Lonchura striata: one gene and its partner. The protein of the gene in region 1 interacts with the protein of each later gene in a biochemical or structural test. Links are inferred from orthologs where the notes say so. Each region holds a gene or a part of one and is shown in the gene's direction. Other genes may lie near its edges.

Region 1 (9,640 bases):
CCTTTAACATTTCCAGACTTCCTTTTGCAGGAGGTCAGGGTTACCTGCCGAGGAATGGACTGTGAGCTTCGGACTTCTCCTGAGCAGAGATGGGGCTGCATGTCTTATAGAAATGGAAAAATTGGAGGATTTCAGTCACAAATTAATGCTTGTTTCTTAGTCCTTCTATGCCTGTATTTATGTTTTTTTTTGTTTTTTTTTTCTTTTCTTAGAAAGCCATCCAGACTATAGACAGGTACCTAATTATCATATTTATTTGAAATTATTGGGTAATGATTTAGATTTTTTTTTCATTTATTCACTCACTAATTTCCTTTCATTTAAAAATTATGAGTCTTCAACATGGGCTAAAACTTACTGGATTTTCACTTCAACAAAAGACAGTACATGAACCTTCCTTCTAAGAAATTAACCACTAAAACCTCTGTATGTGTGGCCTTGTCTGAACCATTATGTTGGGGAATTACTAGAGCTTGCACAAATACCTGGGAACAACAATCATCATTGTACATGCATCAGTCAACATAAATTGGAAATAGTATTTCTTGCTGGCTCTGTTGAAAACAGAGACTCAAAACTGTGTTCAATTTTTGATATATTTATAGGAAGTGGTAAGATACACTGCAAGGGGAAATTCATGTTGGATGATAACACCAGGACTGATGAGATTGTGCTCCTATTTCCTATTTATAAAAACATCGGCACTTACACAGTGATAGTGCTTGGTTGGTAATTTAAAATCTGATGCTCTTTTAACTTCATTTGCCTCTCTTAAGGCCCTTAGATTTGGAGATTAAGTAAGCTGAGCTGTGTCCTGACACCCTGATATAAAGACAGCAATCAAGGTGTCTGGAGAGGCTGTAGGGTAAGGATCATGCAGTTGTGTGTATACTCTTGCAGCTGTGGAGGGTTTTTGGTGGTGTTTGAGAATGCTGTATGCTCTTGTAACAAATATGGAACTTTGGGCTAGGAAGTTAGCTGAGGTAGGTGGGAAAGCCCTTGGGAGGGAGGGAAAAGGTGGATGGGAAAGCTCCCCCTGTTCTGCTGAGGTGCAAGAGCACTGCAGTATTGTTACATTTCTCATTTACAGAGGAAAAACATTATGCCTGTACATGCAGTGCTAAAATTAATATGCCTAGATTAACAGTTTTCATTTTTTTAAATTCCACAATTCACTGATATTTTTATGAACAGACAAAGCCTAATTAGACCAGTCCCTGTCAGCACTGACAGGAATTGCATGGCTCCAGGATTTGCAAAGGTGGCTGGAGACAAAAACAGGGCAGGACTTTCTCAGTGATCTCTCCAAAAGTATTAAGATGAATATACAGGAAAATACATACAGGAAGTGAGTTGCTGGCCTAAGGGGCTGCATGACATATTTTGTGTAGCATCAAACCATCTCCCAGAGTAGGAGAGGACTTGCAACAGATGCAATTTATTTATTAGTGTTAATGGAAAATCAGTTCTCTGAGTTTCTTGACTTTATCCATGGTCTGAAGATACTTGCAACTGAAGAAGTGGTCAAGGGAGTCATACTAGTACAGATGCTTAAATGTGAAGTTAATTAGGTACTCTGATGAGCAAATATAAATATATAAAGAAAAAATTGTTAATTGTGCATAGGCTGTGAGAAGACTTAGAAGTAACTGAGAAATTGGAAGTGTTCATTAGCGGAAAGATATTTGACAGTGTTTTTACAGAAATATGGTTGAAGGATTCACATGATTGAAGCACAGAAATGGCTGGGTAACATGCCAGGAAGAAAGTGACATTTGATTTTCGAGTGAAGAGGTTTTACAGTTCTTGTGAACTGATATTTTAATCAACAAGGAATAAACAGAGGGTGTCTGATGTGGACCACCAAATGAGAATATAATGCCTTTTTGCCTAACAGATAAAGAATGTGTGCTGCTTCAGAGGATTTCATCCTAGGGAATTTATTTTACCAGTTCGATGGTAGCAAAACGTTCTGGGTATTTCTAAGAGGGAAAAAAAAGGCAGCTGAGCCAGTGCCTGTGTCTGACACAATATTTAATAAGCATTTTGGAGCAATTCTCCTTTAGGCCTACTTTTATTTAAAATGAGCTGTTACCTGGGCATCTGTTATTCATAAATGCAGCATAGTACCTAAGAAAGAAGAAATTTCTCAGTGCTGAGAATTGGAAAGAAGCAGGCTTTACAAAATATAACTGTAGCAGAGAATCATGCTGAAAACATATGTGAAGAATGTGAAACTTCCTTGCAAATTACTTAGGTGCCAGAAATAAAGGTTTTTGTGAAATCAGAAGTTGGCTTCAGTGTGTCTATTACACTATGATTTTTAATTACATTATTTTCTTACAATACATCCACTGTTTTTGTGGGGGGAATGGGAGGTGCTTGGGGTTTTTTGTTTGTTTTTGTTTGTTTTTGTTGGGGGGTTTTGATGCTTTTTACAAAAGGTGGAGAAACTGTCATTTTCATGCCTCACTGATACACAGGAAGAATTTTGAGAGGCTTACTTTAACTAATCCTCATTGTTCAATATAGTCTTATTTGCATTCCCATAACCAATCCCTAAACTGAAAAATAAAAGTTATTTTCTTAGTGTGAGGGTTTTTTTTGTTTGTTTGTTTTTGTTTTGTTTTATCTTTTTTTTACCATTAACGAAGAGCATCCTGTTTTACTGACAGGGAATGCAGCAACAAACAGATTAAAGTCAGAAGAACCACTTTGTTAAATACTGTAATTTGAAGTGCAGCTTTGCTTGGTTTAAACGATATCCAGCCATACTCCAGACCTCTGCAGACCTCTCCTAGATGCATTTCTTTGCCCTACCTCTCCAGCACTGGCCTTCCCTGTGCACTGCAGGGACACCAGTGTCAGCTGGTCTCTGCCTCCCACATGAGGGCAAACCTTGAACTTCACACTCAGTGAAGTTTCTGACCTGTACTGGGAAAAGCAAGGAGATGCATTTCAATCTTCAGCTAACAAAAGGACATTTGCTACTGCAGCAGTAGTAAAGAAGGATGTCAGGTGGTTGCTAATAATGTCCAAGGTACTAATTCTGTTGTAACACACAACCTGGCCTCAAGCTTTCTTTCATAAAGACTGAGTTCTCAAAAAGAGAAATTGCTTCCAAAACAACCCCAGCTCTTGGAAAGATGATGACAGTCCAGAGACAATGTGAGTGTGTGTGCTAATAAACTGCCAATATTGTAAAATGATCAAATTGATCCAAGTAGCTGTAGTACTGGTAGCCAAGTACTGGTGAAAATCACAGAATGATACAGTATACAAGCAGTGAAGAAAGATTTTCTGTGAAACTAATTTTGACAAACTTGCATAGCAAGTTGAGAATGGCAAAACATCATTTCGCATATGATATTCTGGTTAAAAATAGCATTACACAAAATCAATATGGCACCTATTTCTGTTGGCATCCTAGGAATGTTCTTGGTGTTATGATAATCAATTTTCTGGAAGAAAATGAGTTGCTGGAAAGTTTGCAGGTGACAAACTGCTGGCCAAATCACTTGTACAAGTAAAGGTCATGGTTTGATTTATTCTAGTGCAAAACCAAATGCACAGGAGTAAGGAGGTAGGTGATGCTTTTAGGCAGTGCCAGCAGGAATTGGGGGCAGAGGGGGCAAGAGCTGGATGTTCGTCTGGCTCTGGTCCAGGGGGTTTTCCAGATGCCTTCTGTCCCACCTGGGTCACCAGAAACTGATGTCTTTGAAGGCTGACCTGGAACAGAGACTAGAGAGAGTTAAATAATAAAGTAGGTATTTATTAGAAGGTCTCAATAGATACACCTTGGGCAGTACAAGAGCCCAGCCAGGGCTACACCCAAGATGAACCAAAATGATCACACAATGGATGTCTCTCACTTTTATAAATTCGGATCCATTATCTTATTGGAGTTTATTGTCCAATTACGGCTTTAGATTACGAAGTCATATCCTTCTTGTTTTTCTCTCTTCAGTCCACTGTTGTTTATGCTTTTGGGACTGAAATTTGGATCATTTGTCCTTGGTCCCCAGAGAGAAAAGGATTATTTTTTTTTACCTACTCTGAGGAGAGCTTACTATTCCCCAATATGAAGCTCAGAACTACACACTAAAGCAGTACAAAATCTGGAAAATACAAAAGCTAAAATCTGAGGCATCAAAAACATGGTGCAGATGATTTCATAAAGAGACATTCCTACAAGGACAACACACTACCTGGTCTTCCTGTAGGGATTAGGTTTCTCAATCTGCCAACCTGCCCAGCCTATGGAACCGGCTGGTACTGAGGGAGGTGCTGAGGTTGCAGCTTCTGGCCCAGTGCAGGCAGGTCACAGGGTTAGAAGGGCCAGTTCAACATCATGTGGAAAAAGGAGAGGTGCATTGGAAGTGCCTCCAGGAATGATTCTTGAGGTGAGGGAAAGTTGGCCTTGTTTTTTACAAAAGCAAGATGTGATTAATCTTAGCCCCTGTGGGTGGGAGAAGATCCCTGACACTACATTCCCTTAAGCCAATAAAGGTATGATGAGAACTGGTGGCTGGAAGTTGGAATAAGACAAATTGATACGGAATATGAAATACACCTTTTAGCAAACTAATTAATAATTGAAATGATTTATCAAGAGAAGTGATGGACTCTTCATTACTGATATCTTAAAGTCAACACTGCTGGATGTCATTCTGCGTGAAAGGCTGTAACGCAACAAATGTTATGAAATTACTGGTTGAGGGCTTTTGGCCCAAGGTCAAATCTTACAATCTTAGAATATATTAATCCATGAAAATTCTTTCCAATTTATTGCAGACATGCTGCCATTGCAGTGTAACATAAACTAGATGTATTAGGTTGATCTTCAAAGGCTTGCTTGGAGTGACCTCAGGAAATTTATGAATATGTATAAAAAGTGAGGTGCCTAAGGCAGGGTTAAGAAAAGTTTTTCATTTTGCCTGTACCCATACAGGTATGGGATCTACCTGAGATGAAACAGATCTGTGAATTGCTGCTCTGGGACTCTGCAGACCACGGACGTGGGTGGGCAGTGTGAACGTGTTCCCTGGGATGGGAGGATAGCCTGGGAGCAACGCAAAAAGCCATGGGCTGTCTATGGGCTATGCCCCACAGCCACTGTGATGTGGTGACAATTACTTGGGAGAACATGTGTGGAAAGGGCTCGCTTCCCACAGACTATTCACAGGGTTGCGACAGCCCTCGGGGAGGCTCAGAGTCCTGCCGCAACCTTATTTTTTTTTATTTGTTTTTGTTTTTTGTAATTTGAGCAGTGTCAGGGTCTCCAAAAACCCGCCAGTTCTGAGGGGAAAAGAAACCGGTTTAAAAAAAAAAAAAGCCCAAAAAAAACCACCAAAAAAACCCACCAAAACCCCACGACTTCTGCTCTAGCGAAACGCCCCGCTCCTGCGTGCCGCAGAGCTGCCGTGGCCCGGGCTGGCTGCGCGTGTGCGTGTGCGGGGTGCCGAGCCCGAGTGGGAGCGTGTTTGCGTGCCGCGTGTGCGCGGGGGAGGGCGGGGAGAGTGCGCGGAGCCCGCCCGCGCCGGGCCGCCCTGCCAGCGGGCTCCGTGCGTGTGCCGGGCGGGTCGCGCGTGGGGACAGCGCCGATGGGCAGCGGCCGCAGCTCGCACCTCCCCGCGCCCACCCGCGCCCGCCTTGGCAGCTCCACCTGGAGAAGGTGCCCGACCCACAGGCAGCGAACGCTGATGCCGTGAAGAGGGAGCGCGGTCCGGCCCCCGCCGCCGCCGCACACTTTGCGCTGCCCGCGGCCGCGCATCCTGCCCGGCGGCTTTGCCCGACCCGCAGGAAGGGCGCAGGCGGCACCTCGCTCCCGCGGCGGGGGCTGCCCCGGCTCCCGCGGAATGCGGCATTAGCACCCCCGCCCGGCTCGGCACCGCTCCCCTTCTCCGCCTCCCCGGCTCTAGAGGGGGGGCTTTTTCCTCTTCGGCGTTTTCTGCCGGAGCATCCCTTTTTTCCCTTTTCACCCTTTTGGAGGAGGAGGAGGAGGAGGGGGAAGGAAGGAAGTGTTCAATGAGGGCTGCTCGGCTACCCCCCCCGCGCCTGAGAGGTGCTGTCCCTCCCTGAGCGGAGAGGGTGGAGAGCTGCCGAGGAGGCAGAGGCAGGTCCCGCTCCCTTGCTGTGCCGCCGGGGAGAGCGGAGGAGGGTGGTGAGGAGAGTGTCTGTGTGTGCGTGGTGGTGGTTATTTATTTATTTATTGCTCCTGGTGGTTGCAGCTGGCAGACCTGGGAAGGAGTAGGCGCCATTGCCAGAAGGATTATTGCCAGGGGAGGGGAGGGGGGGGGGGGAAGAGAGAGGAGACCCCGAGGCTCCCGAGGAAGAGGAGACAGGCAGATCTTTCCCTCCCGCCTTGGCTTCTGCCGCCGGGGGATGCGCCCAGACTGAGAGGGGCTCGGCTCTCTTCCGCCGCTCAGCCCGTTCCCCCACCCTCAGTCCTCCTCCTCCTCCTCCCCATCCAGCAGCATGCATCCCTCTCCGCGGAGACCGGCCGCTGCCACCTCCAACCCTGCCATGCTACTGCTGCTCCTGTGCCTGGGCTGGGCGCCGCCGGGCTGGGGCTGGTCGCGGGGCAGCTCCCGGGGGACGGCCGGGCTGCCCCCCAACGCCACCACGCCGATCTCCATCATGGGCTTGATGCCGGTCAACCAGTCCGAGGAGGAGAGCAGGATCACCCAGGGAGTGCTACCCGCCGTGTATCTGGCCATGGATCAGATCCGCAACGAATCCCTGCTCAACCCCTATTCCCTGGACCTGCGGGTCTACGACACGGAGGTAGGGACCGCCGCGGGCCCCGCGCCGCCGGGCGCAGGGGGAGGCGCCGCCGCCCAGTCCCGGGGCGCTGCGGGTGCAGGGGCGCAAGGGCAGCGCGGACGCCCGGGCCGGGGCTGCGGCTGCCGGCGGGGCCGTGCGCGCCGCCTCCGAGCCGCCTTGCCCGCCCGGCCCCGCGGGCTGCCGGCAGATGTGCAGGGACCGGCGGCGGAGGGGGAGGACGTGGAGCCGGCGGGCCGAATCCTGCCCGCCCGGTATTACCAGGAGCGGCTGCCCCGGCAGCTGGGGCTCGCCCCACCGCCCCAGAAGCGCCCCTGTCCGGGAGTCGCCTGCAGCGCGGGGGTGGGCCCGGACGGGTGCCCGGGCGGCGGGGGCTCTTGTCGGTGGCGGTGGCTGGGATCCGCTGCCCTTGGCACGCACGTACACCGGTGGGAGGAAAGCTGCCTCGCCCAGCGAAGCCGCGGCCGCATCCCTGTGCCAGCCGCCACCCGCTCAGCAACAGATGCACACCGGGCGCTCCGCTCCCCCGCTCCGCCAACGGGCTCACGCCGCCAGCCCGGCTTATCCCATGCGGCGACGGGACGCGGAGGGCAGCGGTCGCAGCCGTAGCTTGAGGAGGAGGAGGGGAGGCTTCGCAGGGGTTCGCCGAGATTCCCCCCGTCCCTGCCCTCCGGCGGGAGCGGCTGAGCGCTCGTCCGGGGGTGCGTGGCAGGCGGGCGGCGGGGCGCGGAGGCGCTCGCTTCTCGGGAAGAACTAAATTTGCAGTGCCGGTTCCTGCGGAGCGCTGCCAGTGCGGCGGGATGCCTGCCCCCGTTCCGGAGCGCTGCCAGCGGCCGGCCGTCAGCGCTGGGAGAGCGGGGAGCCCTGCTGAGCGAGGAAACACGCTCCCTTTACCTGGGAGCGAGAGGCAGGGAGCGGGGCGAGGGCTTTGTGGAGCTGGTTGCCACTACCGCCCGCCCGCAGCTGCCTTTGGTTTTTGTCACAACTTCAGTACCTGTGTGTTTGCGGAGGATAGGCGCGGGTCCGGTACCGGGGCTCCCCTGAAGATGGCAGTCACTTCTTGTGTAATGCTGGCGGTCGGGGTTCGCTTCCAAGACAACCCCCGGTAAAGCAAGTGACTGCTGAAAATCTTGCCGGCTGTAATTTAAGGAAGCCCCTGTGCTCCCTTTAGGTTTCTCAGGTCCGGGGGGAACAAACTGAGAGCAGCAATGACAGGCTGTACTGTATCGTGACAGTGTTTCCGTCCCTAAAATGACTACCAAAGGCCTCTCCTTCCAGGGTGGCTGCTTTTTATTGACATAAATTTGTCATAGTGTTAAAAAAAACAAAAAACAAAAAACAAAAAAAAACACCAACCACTGAGCAGAAATGCATGGAGGGCAATACTGCTGAAGATGTCACTTAGGAAGGAGCAGGCTGCCATCCTGTTGTGTTGTGTGAACAAGACTAGATACTGACAGGGAATACAGGCAAGATCAACCTAGAGTAGCTGCTTGTTTCTTTAAAAAGATGAATCTCAGGGAACTCTGCAATTGTAATGAAAAGAATTATGGGGGATTTTCTGAATGGCATTACCTGTCTCATAAAGTGAGATGCATGTCAGGAAAAAATTCACAGGTTTCCTAATCCTGTTTTCATTACGTTAATCTATATTAGTTTTTCCTGTGGATAGAATTATTAAAAAAATAGGCATAGGAATTAGAGAAGCCTAGGCAGGATGTCCCTTCTTCTTACAGTAATATCTTAATAAAGAAGGTGCTGCACTTTATTGCAGTCAAAATATTGTGGCACTCTTCATAGAGATTTTGGGTTCTGAACTAGGTAGTTATCATAAAAATATTCAGGAAAAAAATTACCCTATTTGTTCTGGAATGAGTATCAGTTTCTTTAAAATTTTACTGTTAGTACTCCAGGGACATAAGAAATCAGGGTCATGTTGCTACCTTGCTGTGTTGCTTTAAATGCTTTTAAGAAATTAATAAATGCATGGTTATGGAATGCTAATTCAGGTGACCGTACATGTTTAGAGTACAGTTGGGTCATTATTGCATGCTTAATAGTGACAAGTAAATAAGTTAGTGTCCATAAAGAGTGCTAGATTGACTGCACCCAACAGAATGGACGAATGCCTGGAATAGCCATTAAATACCTAATGGCAGCACAAACTTTTTCAGTCGGTTCAGACATTACCCTTTTCCTTCAGTGCACTTACGATAAGCAGGAGGGTAGCTGGCTCATCATGCCCACTTGATTCTCAGCCTATTTTCTGAGACTGCCAATAAATAGCTATGCCTGAAGGGCCTGGATCCTTATCATTGCATAATCAGAGACCAGGGAGTAGTTCTCCCTCTCAGGGCTTCACAGGTGGTGCTTGTGACATTGTTGGCTCTTGAAAGAGAGAATGTAGAGCCTTGAACACATAGGATTTTTTAATAGCTTGAGAAATAATTGTAGTATATTTATAATGCTTAGGAAATGCATGGCAGTGATTTACTAATTCAGGTATTCTCCCTTGTGTCTCCAAAATCCGTCTTTGTTGCAGTCTGATCCTTGTATTGTAATTTTTTGTAATACTTTAAGTGCTTGTGAAAAACAATAATGAAAATAAACTAGATTGGTTTTTTTTGTTTTTTATTATGAGTTCAGGTTCATTCTGTCAGGATTGAACTGAATATTCTATCTGGCTTGATAGTTCTGGTTTGTATAAGGAAGCATCATAATGTCTTTACTTTCTGACCATAACATATGAAGAACTGCAGCGTGCCTTCTAAGGTGAACTGTTGTTTGTCAGCACTTGAACTCGTTAACCTTTGAGGACATGAGCAGCAGCTCGAGTGATTTTCAAAGCATTTAAATT
Region 2 (9,296 bases), on another chromosome or scaffold:
TGACCTTTGCTAATTGCTCACTTGATTGTGTTTCTCAGTCACACTCTGTAGCTCTCTATCGGCCAAGGACACAGAATACACTGCTAATGTCTGTCCTCCTTCTTTCTCTCCCTCTTCTCCAGACTCTGCAGAGCATTGCTCTCACAAAATTATCCAAGGAAATGTCTGTAGCACCCTGGCAGGAGGAAAGTGCATGAGCCCTTGATGACTTTCTGAGGTCCCTGACAGCCTGTTATTCTGGTTCTTCAATATCTTTCGTGCTTGAATGTGCAGATTTCCACAGCAGCTGAATTTCCTAGAACATGCAGTTCAAGCTAAATGTACCCAGCTGTATATGCAAACAGAGACAAAACAATTTCTATGAACAGATATTCTCAGATGTAACTTCACAGGTAACATTCATTACAATTCACATGAATTATTGAAATCTATGAATGTATGCATTTATGTTCAACTAGATACAGTCTGTGGAACTGTCTTTAGAAGGAGTTGAATTCTTCTTCTGTCATTAGGTGGAATAATGCATAATTCAAGTTTTTGGAAATACTACTTGGTATCACCTGAGCATAATGCTGAGGCTGATAAATTCACTCTGAACAATGGTTCAGAAATGGGAAAGGTTTCAGCCTAATAGTCATTCATTTACTGTCAAAGTCAGACCTATGGAACTGCACACATTTTAGAGAGCATATAACACAAAGGATTCATGACTCTTAGGCAATATACTCTGCTGTGGGACTACTAGACTTTTTTCTGCATTGTCTAAACAAGACTGTGAAGCTTAAATGAGTGTATTTGAACCTCCAGTTCAGTTCTGTTCAGATCACTAACTCTTTTTGACAATTTTATGCAGAAGGCTAAATATTTAACTGAACTCAGTATTAAAATTCAAGCAATGCAGTCATTTGCAATTAGGTTTTTTCTAAGCAATATTGTATCACTTCACATAGCAAAGACTGCTAGAAGAAATAATAAACCAACACTTTTAGTTTGGAACAGTGATAAAATATGTTCTTGCTCTACTAAGTTTCTCACGAAGAAGCTGAATACATAATAGTTTACATCTACCGAAAAAGTATCGTTTACTCTTTATGTACCTCGGGTCATGCAGCCAATACTCTAGAGCCCCTTGTATGTCTTAATTGCAATGTGGATTTACTGCCACTAGATGCTATCCTTCCTCCATTTGTGAAGAGAACTGTCCTCCCTGAATAAACCTGGATCATCCATGGATGTACCGCCCAAAATACAAAACGGGCCCATCGCGATGGAAGCATCTTTGTAAACATGGAAACAACAAAAGCCTCCTCCACACCCCCCACCAAACAAACAAACAAAAAGCCACAAAACCCCCCAAATCAACTAAATCAATCCCCCCAAACCAATGGAAACTTCTCAAAATATTAAAAGAAGAAAAACTGTTGTATCCTGCCAGGTAGCTAGTTCTGGCCAGCAGCTAATAGCAAACATTGAAATGTGACTGTCTTAACTGTAAGAGCTACTGCCCAGAAATGTCCCAATACTGCACAGTCAGAGATAGTCAACTACACATTTGTCATAAAGCCTTGCCTGTGTATTAGAACATATTTAATATTTACCACCCTTTATGGGGGCTGTATGCCTTACAGAAGGCATTCAGTGGCAGCCTTTAATGTTACATGTACCAGTATTTCACTGTCTCCCACACAAAATAAGAATAAACCACTACGACTGTGTTACGCAACCCAGTGACTGACACATAAGTAGAAAATTGTTGATATATTTACCCATTGTAATACCCACAGATGAAGTCCAATCCTCCTCACTGAGACAAATGTTGCCAAATGAAAAGAGATAGGAAAAGGAGAAATTAGATGAACATATTGTGAAAAGAGGAAAAATCTGTTGACGAAAGAAGTCACAATAACTAAAGACTTGCAGACAGGCAAGGCATAAAACAGCAGTGAGATGCCCACAGAATATAATTTCTCTGAAGAGACGTAGCTTCAAAACAGTTATTTCAGTGCTGGGCATGTTTTTAAGCCCAGAAAATTACATCCATCTCAGAGACAAACACTGCAAGCTGGGTCTTTGCCCAGGACTGTTGAACAGGCTGTATGAACAGCATCTTGAGAAGGCTCCGTGCTCCCTTTTTGAAGGGGACCCTGGAGTCAGCTTCACATTGACAGAGAGAACACTACAGTGGGATGTACTGGTTTGTGCCCTTAAAAAGAGACCTGAGACATTGGGCCAAATAACTTATTGTGTCAGCTGAGTTCCTCCACACCCCTTTAATGTGCGTGGCTTTGGACATCATCAGGTGCTGCACAGGAGCACGGTGGGTCCTTGTCACCCGACCTCCCATGAGACAGTAGGCAGGCAGAGGTAAAGCTCTGAGGAGCCAGTGGCTGAAGGGGCAGCATAACTTACTCATCTCTGAAGCTTGTGAAAATATGCCCAGGAAGAATCCATGAAGCTCAGGTTTTCTGAAGTCTGGTCTCAAATCTAACAAAGCTCAATACAAACAGAAAGTTCAAGTCTAATGAATATGTTAGAGTTTTTTTTTTTCCTTGATCTGCATTAATATTCACCTAATGCCAGAAAAATGAAGTAATTTTAATAAAAGATGAACTAAAGATCCCATTTTTTAACATGGGAGCATTTGTTAAAACTCACCTGCTGGTAGGTACAAAATCTTTCACTGCAAATTCTGCTATGAATAAGCGCCTGCTCAGGCATTATATGATCTCATCCTCTGGGTGCACAGTTTAATCACAGTGCTCTCGATAGGGAGCCCACACTAGGGAAGTGGAGTTTAAAATACGAATCTGTAGGAGGCTCTTGAGGTGGCTTCCTGCTAAGTATGGCCAGGAGCAGGGTGATGTGGGGGGAGATGCCACATTAAGAGACCAGCTCCATAAAACTGTCACCAGCAAACCACCACGTGAAAATTTCATGTGCTTTTACTCTGGTGAATTGACCCTGAAATAGTATACAGAAAAAACCCAAATCTTCTGTGTGTCACATTACTTCTCCTTTTTTTTTCCTCTATCAACAAACTCAGCTGTTTAAATGGGTAGCAAAACAACTTAATTCAAGATTACTTAATTTTCCCCTCATCTTTCAGAACTGTTTTAACCTCTCTTCTACTTCTCTCTCAAAAAAAAACCCACATAAAAAACAAACAACCAAAGCAAAAACCAAAACCAACCAACCAAAAAAAAAAAAAAAAAGAAAGAAAGAAAAAAGACACAACAAGCTCTTGTAACAAAATGTCAGCAAAGCATCAGATTAACCTACTTTGCCATTCCACTCCCACAAATGAAAATAGTTGGTGGTCAAAGTCCTGGTAACTGGATTTCCACCATGGAAAAAGTAGTGGTCCACATCTTTGTTACAATATTCTTAGTCTTGTTCAGATGAGACTCCTGTAAATTCCGAGTGACCACTCTCCCCAGACCATCTCATCTCCTTTCTTAGACCACAGTATCTCCCTGTCAGTTCTCCCGAGACACATTATTTTTTTACCACCCATTCCCTTTTCAAAACTTCTCTTTCTCAACTCCCCCTCTTCTTCCTCTTCTTCTCTTGGGCAAACTTAACTTGCTTCTCGAGAACTAACTTGCCTTTCCTTCCTTTCTCACTTCTCAATTTTTGAAGGACTTCTAGCCCCTGCCTCTGCCTCTTTTGATTTCTACTTCACAGACAACTGCAGTGGGGCACTTGCAGTAGGGTAGTCCAGAGAGGGCTTCGTTCACCCCTACGAAAGGAGAGCACTGACCATTGCCTTCATACTCCTCAGACCTTCCTGTCCTCCGAGCTGTCCTCTCGAGGAAGAAAGCACACGTGAACTCCCTCTGGAGAGAACTGAATGCATCAAGGCAGCAGCTCTTTACTATTGCTTGCAGAGAGACACAGAAGGGTAGATTAAATTCAAGCAAGAGCCTGAAACAAATGCTTTCTACCAATGCATGTTAAATAGGTGCTTATGTTTCACGCAGATCCTGATGTACCTAATTAATCCTAATTAAATCTGAGCTGTAAGGGCACCTAAATACACAAATATGCACGCAGACACGAGGAGCCTGGCTCTCACGGTGAAGTGTCGCTTGGCAGGCAGCTGGAGGGGACCCCATCCGCGCCGAGGTGTCCCTCGCCACCAGGGTCTTCCCCCGGCCGGCGGCGCATCCCTTGCACGGCGCTCCCGGCGCCTCCCGACGGTGCGATCCGTCGCGTCTCCCTCCGGGAGTGAGGATCGGCGGGGGCTTTACGGAGTCCTGCAGGGCGTCTAAAACCTGCGTAGGGATGGGGGTGTCTCGCAAACCCGGAACGGGCCGGGAGCCGCCTGAGGAGAGCCGGCAGCACCACAGGCTCGCGTTTTCTCCTGCGACAGCGACAGGAGGGAGGGGACACGGTTATCTCGCCGGGGCTCCCATTGACAGAGGGTTGGGACAAGCCTTAGGAAGATTAGCAGGGGTACAGCACAGCGCCTGCGGCAGAGCGGCAGCGTCCCGCCGCTCGTACACTTCGGGGCAAACAGAGGGCTTTTTCTGCCTGCGGAAAACGAGACGTCCCGGAGAATCCGAGGAGCGAGCTGGAGGGTTGGGGGAGGCAGGACCCCAAGTTTTTATCCCCGCTGGACACTCACCGCGGTGCGCGCCCACGGCGACGGGAGCCCGGCGGGCGCGCACCGGGCGGGGAGAGGCTCCCCGCCGCAACCGGGGAAGGAGGACCGGGCGGGGGGGGAACGGGGGAGGAACGGGGGACGGACGACGACGGGGGACCCTGCGTCAGTGCAGGGCCGTCCCCTTCTCCTCCCCGTGCGCTCGGCTCTGCCTCCCGCCAGCCTCCCACGCCTCCCGCGAGGTGCGGCCGCGCTACATAAACACGGCTCTGCCGCCGGTGCCGGGGCTCTCCGTTCGCAGCCCGACGGAGGAGTTGGTCCGGCAGCGGGCAGAGGAGCGGCCGCGAGGAGCGCAGCGGCAGCGCGGCTCCGGCGCCGGACGGGGCGGGAGGCTCCGGCGGGCAGCCGCGGAGGGCTGCGCGCTCCCCCGAGGGCGGCGGCCCTGCCGTAGCCCAGGCGGCCGGAGGAAGAGGAGGAGGAAGGGCGTGGGCTCCGGCGGGCTCGCTCCGGTATGGCCCTGGCGGACAGCGCCCGCGGGCTGCCCAACGGCGGCGGCGTGTCGCCCGCGGCGGGGAGCGGGGCGCCGGGCAGCGGGGCGGCCGCAGCGGCGACGGGCGGCTGGTCTTCCTTCCCGGAGATCGTGGAGCTGAACGTGGGCGGGCAGGTGTACGTGACGCGGCGCTGCACCGTGGTCTCGGTCCGCGACTCGCTGCTCTGGCGCATGTTCTCGCAGCAGCAGCCCAGCGAGCTGCCCCGGGACAGCAAGGGTCGCTTCTTCCTCGACCGCGACGGCTTCCTCTTCCGCTACATCCTGGACTACCTGCGGGACCTGCAGCTGGTGCTGCCCGAGCACTTCCCCGAGCGCAGCCGCCTCCAGCGGGAGGCTGAGTACTTCCAGCTGCCCGACCTGGCTCGGCGCCTGGCGCAGACTCGGGCGGCCGCCGCCCGCCCCGCCGTCCTGCACCGCGACGGCTCCATCTGCGCCGAGGAGCCGCCGGCCCCGCTCCTCGGCTACCTGGAGGCCGAGCCGCTGGAAGGAGGCGGCGGGGCCGTGGCGTCCGCCCCGTCGCCCACCGCCAGCCGCAGCCCCTCGGGCGGACCGCTGCTCACGCCCTCGCAGTCGCTGGACGGGGCGGGCGGGCGGCGCTCGGGCTACATCACCATCGGCTACCGGGGCTCCTACACCATCGGGCGGGAGGCGCAGGCTGATGCCAAATTCCGGCGGGTGGCCCGCATCACTGTCTGCGGCAAGACGGCGCTGGCCAAAGAGGTGTTCGGGGAGACCTTGAACGAGAGCCGCGACCCCGACCGTCCTCCCGAGCGCTACACTGCCCGCTACTACCTCAAGTTCAACTTCCTCGAGCAAGCCTTCGACCGACTCTCCGAGGCCGGCTTCCGCATGGCCGCCTGCTCCTCCACTGGCACCTGCGCCTTCGGTCCCGAGCAGGGCGGTCCCGCCGATGACAAGATCTGGACCAGCTACACCGAGTATGTTTTCTGCCGGGACTGAGCATCAGCAGCCTGTGGCGTGGGGACAAGACAGCCGGCCCTGCACACCCTCGCACCTACGGTCCCCTCGCATCCTGAAGGAAGGAGGATGTGAAGCGGGGCTGTGTCTCCCTGTGCTTTTCTCACCCCGGTGTCTGCCTCCACGCACAAGGCGGGCCAGCCCCGGCGCAGCCCCCACCCCTCTTGCAGCACCTCCTGACGGCCCCGGGGCAGGAGGTCACTGTGTTGTGCCTCGGCTATCGTGTCCCTGCTTGGCCACCACGTCCCTGATCAGCCACCATATCCTGGCTCCCACCTTCACCCTCCCTCCTGCATCTCCCAGTAGCTGTGTTGGTAGCAAGGAAGGAGAGAAATGTTGGGAGTAGACAAATGCCAGTCCCACAAAAGCATGCATGGTTTTTATCCATCTCCCCACACAGAGCTGAGGTATAGCTCTGGCAGGGTGGGGCATTTAAAAAACCATCCAGTTAGGGGCTGAGAAACTTTAAAGTTGCTTTGAGCAACTTTTGTTAAAGATGGCATGACAAATGCCTGTCTTTTCCCATCCCAATACCCTTATGAGAGAGTTTGCCTTGGTGGGCAGACCCCAAATGGTCCATTTTTAACTCCTCCTTTTCCCACCCATCAAAGTGATGCCTGTCTGTGAAGGACTGTCACATAGAAAGGAAGCCTGACTGTGAGGGGTTTGCACTGGCTCATACTTTATCTGCTAAGATGAGTAATTTTGCAGGAGGCGTGCACGTGGCCCTTCACAACTGGTTGCTCCTATCTCCCCTCTTTGCTCCCCATGTCTCTGAACTCATCTCTGTTAAGCTGGACCAGGGCCTGCACAGAGAACATGTAAGGCTGATGTCAAAGGACAGATTTGACAACCATTTGAACTATGAAGTGTCCTCAGAGACATATGTTTATTCCTTTGAGAGGTAAACAAAAACACTTTGAAAAATTAAAGTTCTTGTGATTTGTAACTTCCATGGGTGGTCTGAAGTCCTTATAATCCTCTTGAAGTTACTGTCTTTAATATGGACAGAAATCTCAATGTGTATTTCCTTAAACACACTCAAAACAATGGGAATGAGGTGAAGCTAGGCTTGCCTGAGTAAAGGTAGGGCTGGGTCCTGGGAAGCTGAAATAATGTACATTGAATTAGTGCAGATGTACATTATAACTGTCATCAAGAGCACCCTTGTTACTTTTTGTCATGTTAGTCCCGTAAAACTCTGAAGCCAACAGATGACAAATATCCCTTTTTAAAGAGTCATTTCCTTAGTTTTCATCGCAGTATTATCTGGGCATTGACACTGCTAAGAGCTGTGTACCTCTTCTCAGGCAAACTTAGTACTTCTTAGAAAGGATTGAGCCCTGTCCTCAGAAAAACAAGGATGATGCCAACTTTCTTCAGGGGAAATTACTTCTGAGCTGTATTTTGTTACTGCTGAATAACAGTCTTTCCCAGAGGAGGCAGTCAGAGTCTGCATTGGAACAGATGATCTGAACCACAGGTTTTATGGAGATTCAGCAGCTCTTTCTAACAAATTATTGATGTCTGGAATATAAAAGCACTTCCCTTTAAAAACCTAAACTTGATCTAAGAATGTGTGTAGCCTGTTCAGACCATCACAGAAAAATACCCTAAATTTATCTGAAGTGTTGAAGAATTTAGCAGTACATATTAAAGGCTTGAAGTTATGTTTTTAAAACTCTTGAACAATAATTCTACTTCTACCTAGTTCTAATTCTAATTCCAAATTTAGAAATACTGATAGCACCTGTATTCTAACCAAAGAATTTCACAGTAGGGCTTTTTTAAAAAACCCTAATTCCTTTGGAAAAGCTATAGCTACATTTCTGTAGAGTTTCAGTGCTCAGTCTCTCTTCACTTGGTCTTTCATTAAGTTCTTTCATTAAGTGCACCGCTACATAAAACTGAAAATAATTTGTGTCACCACGGCTTCTTTTTGCTAATATTAGCGAGGTTGTTTATCAACGTGATTGAATTGAAGATGTGCATATGAAAGCACTGGATACTGTCTATTTGTAGGTAGTTGTATTATGGAGTATTTTTAAAAGGATAGAAATGTAAACCTGCCAAATCAGATGAGCAATAAGATACAGTGAGAGGCCAATACACCTGAGGATGGAATGAAGTCTGTTTGTCCTATGCCTTACTCTGAGATGACTTCTTTGTGCTTAACTTTTACCACAAGGGAAAAGACATTGATCACAGCTACTAGGTCTTTACAGTGCCCTTCTCGAGAGTAATGACTGTCTTTTTCTAGTTTCCGTTAAGTAACTCTGAAGTATGTTTTTTAAGATTTTGTATAAAATCAGTTTTCAGTAAGGTGTTCAAATTTGCTCTAGATAGCTTTCTTTTTTTAAGAATCTGGTAGCTTACTAAATCCATCATAGGAGCTATGAATAGGGGCAGTTTTAAATTGACCTTGTGGTTTAGTGTACATATATATAGAGTGTATTAACATTTTACACAAATCATTTAGTTTTTTTAATAATTTTCGTGTTACAGGATTTCATAATGTATCTACCTGAGCATTTTCACATTATGTTATGTATATAATATGGTAATGTTTTACTGCTTTCTTATACCTATTTCAATGGAAAAACTGAATATGAATATCATCAGCTTGTAGAACTGAAATTGATGACATATTTGCTTGAATGTGAATCTTCTAGGAGGCTGAATGCATCTCTAAAACAAAGATTGCCTGTCTTTTGATTAATAGTTGCCTATCCCTTTCCTGGCAGATGACCCAGTAATTCTCACTTTTTATGTAAAAATGGATGTAATATAAACAGGATTTTTTTTTTTAATCTTTGTGCTAAAAAATTTTAAGTGTTATTAGTGTAAAGAAATGGGCCTTTAATTTACTGATAACTCATTATCAGTATTGTCAGCAGGCTTAAAATGATGGTGCCGTAAATGCTTTGCCACAGAAGATGATACTTTTCTGAACCATTACTTAGTAATGGCAGTAAACTTTTTAAAAGGAAAAATGCTCAAGGCAAAGTCAATGAGTTTTACTTGTCTGTTCTATTGAGAGCTTGAAGAATGGATAAACACAATGACTGCTGACTTGTTGACATGAAAACATACAAAAATATAAAGGCACAATACTGGAGTCCTGTCTACATTTCGTAGCTGTTTCTTTCATAATTCATGTACTTA

Evidence for each region.
Region 2: the proteins of GABBR2 (region 1) and KCTD12 form a complex in vitro, tested with the Homo sapiens proteins (2 studies listed by BioGRID). The link is inferred for Lonchura striata from reciprocal best matches to the Homo sapiens genes GABBR2 and KCTD12.

What each region holds. Positions count from the first base shown.
Region 1 is NC_134603.1:62,278,462-62,288,101, reverse strand, and holds the start of GABBR2 (gamma-aminobutyric acid type B receptor subunit 2), read left to right. Parts: upstream 1-5,580; 5' UTR 5,581-5,603; coding exon 5,604-5,674; intron 5,675-6,476; coding exon 6,477-6,786; intron 6,787-9,640. UniProt on the Homo sapiens protein: Component of a heterodimeric G-protein coupled receptor for GABA, formed by GABBR1 and GABBR2. Within the heterodimeric GABA receptor, only GABBR1 seems to bind agonists, while GABBR2 mediates coupling to G proteins.
Region 2 is NC_134604.1:49,126,646-49,135,941, forward strand, and holds the start of KCTD12 (BTB/POZ domain-containing protein KCTD12), read left to right. Parts: upstream 1-5,114; coding exon 5,115-6,113; 3' UTR 6,114-9,296. UniProt on the Homo sapiens protein: Auxiliary subunit of GABA-B receptors that determine the pharmacology and kinetics of the receptor response. Increases agonist potency and markedly alter the G-protein signaling of the receptors by accelerating onset and promoting desensitization.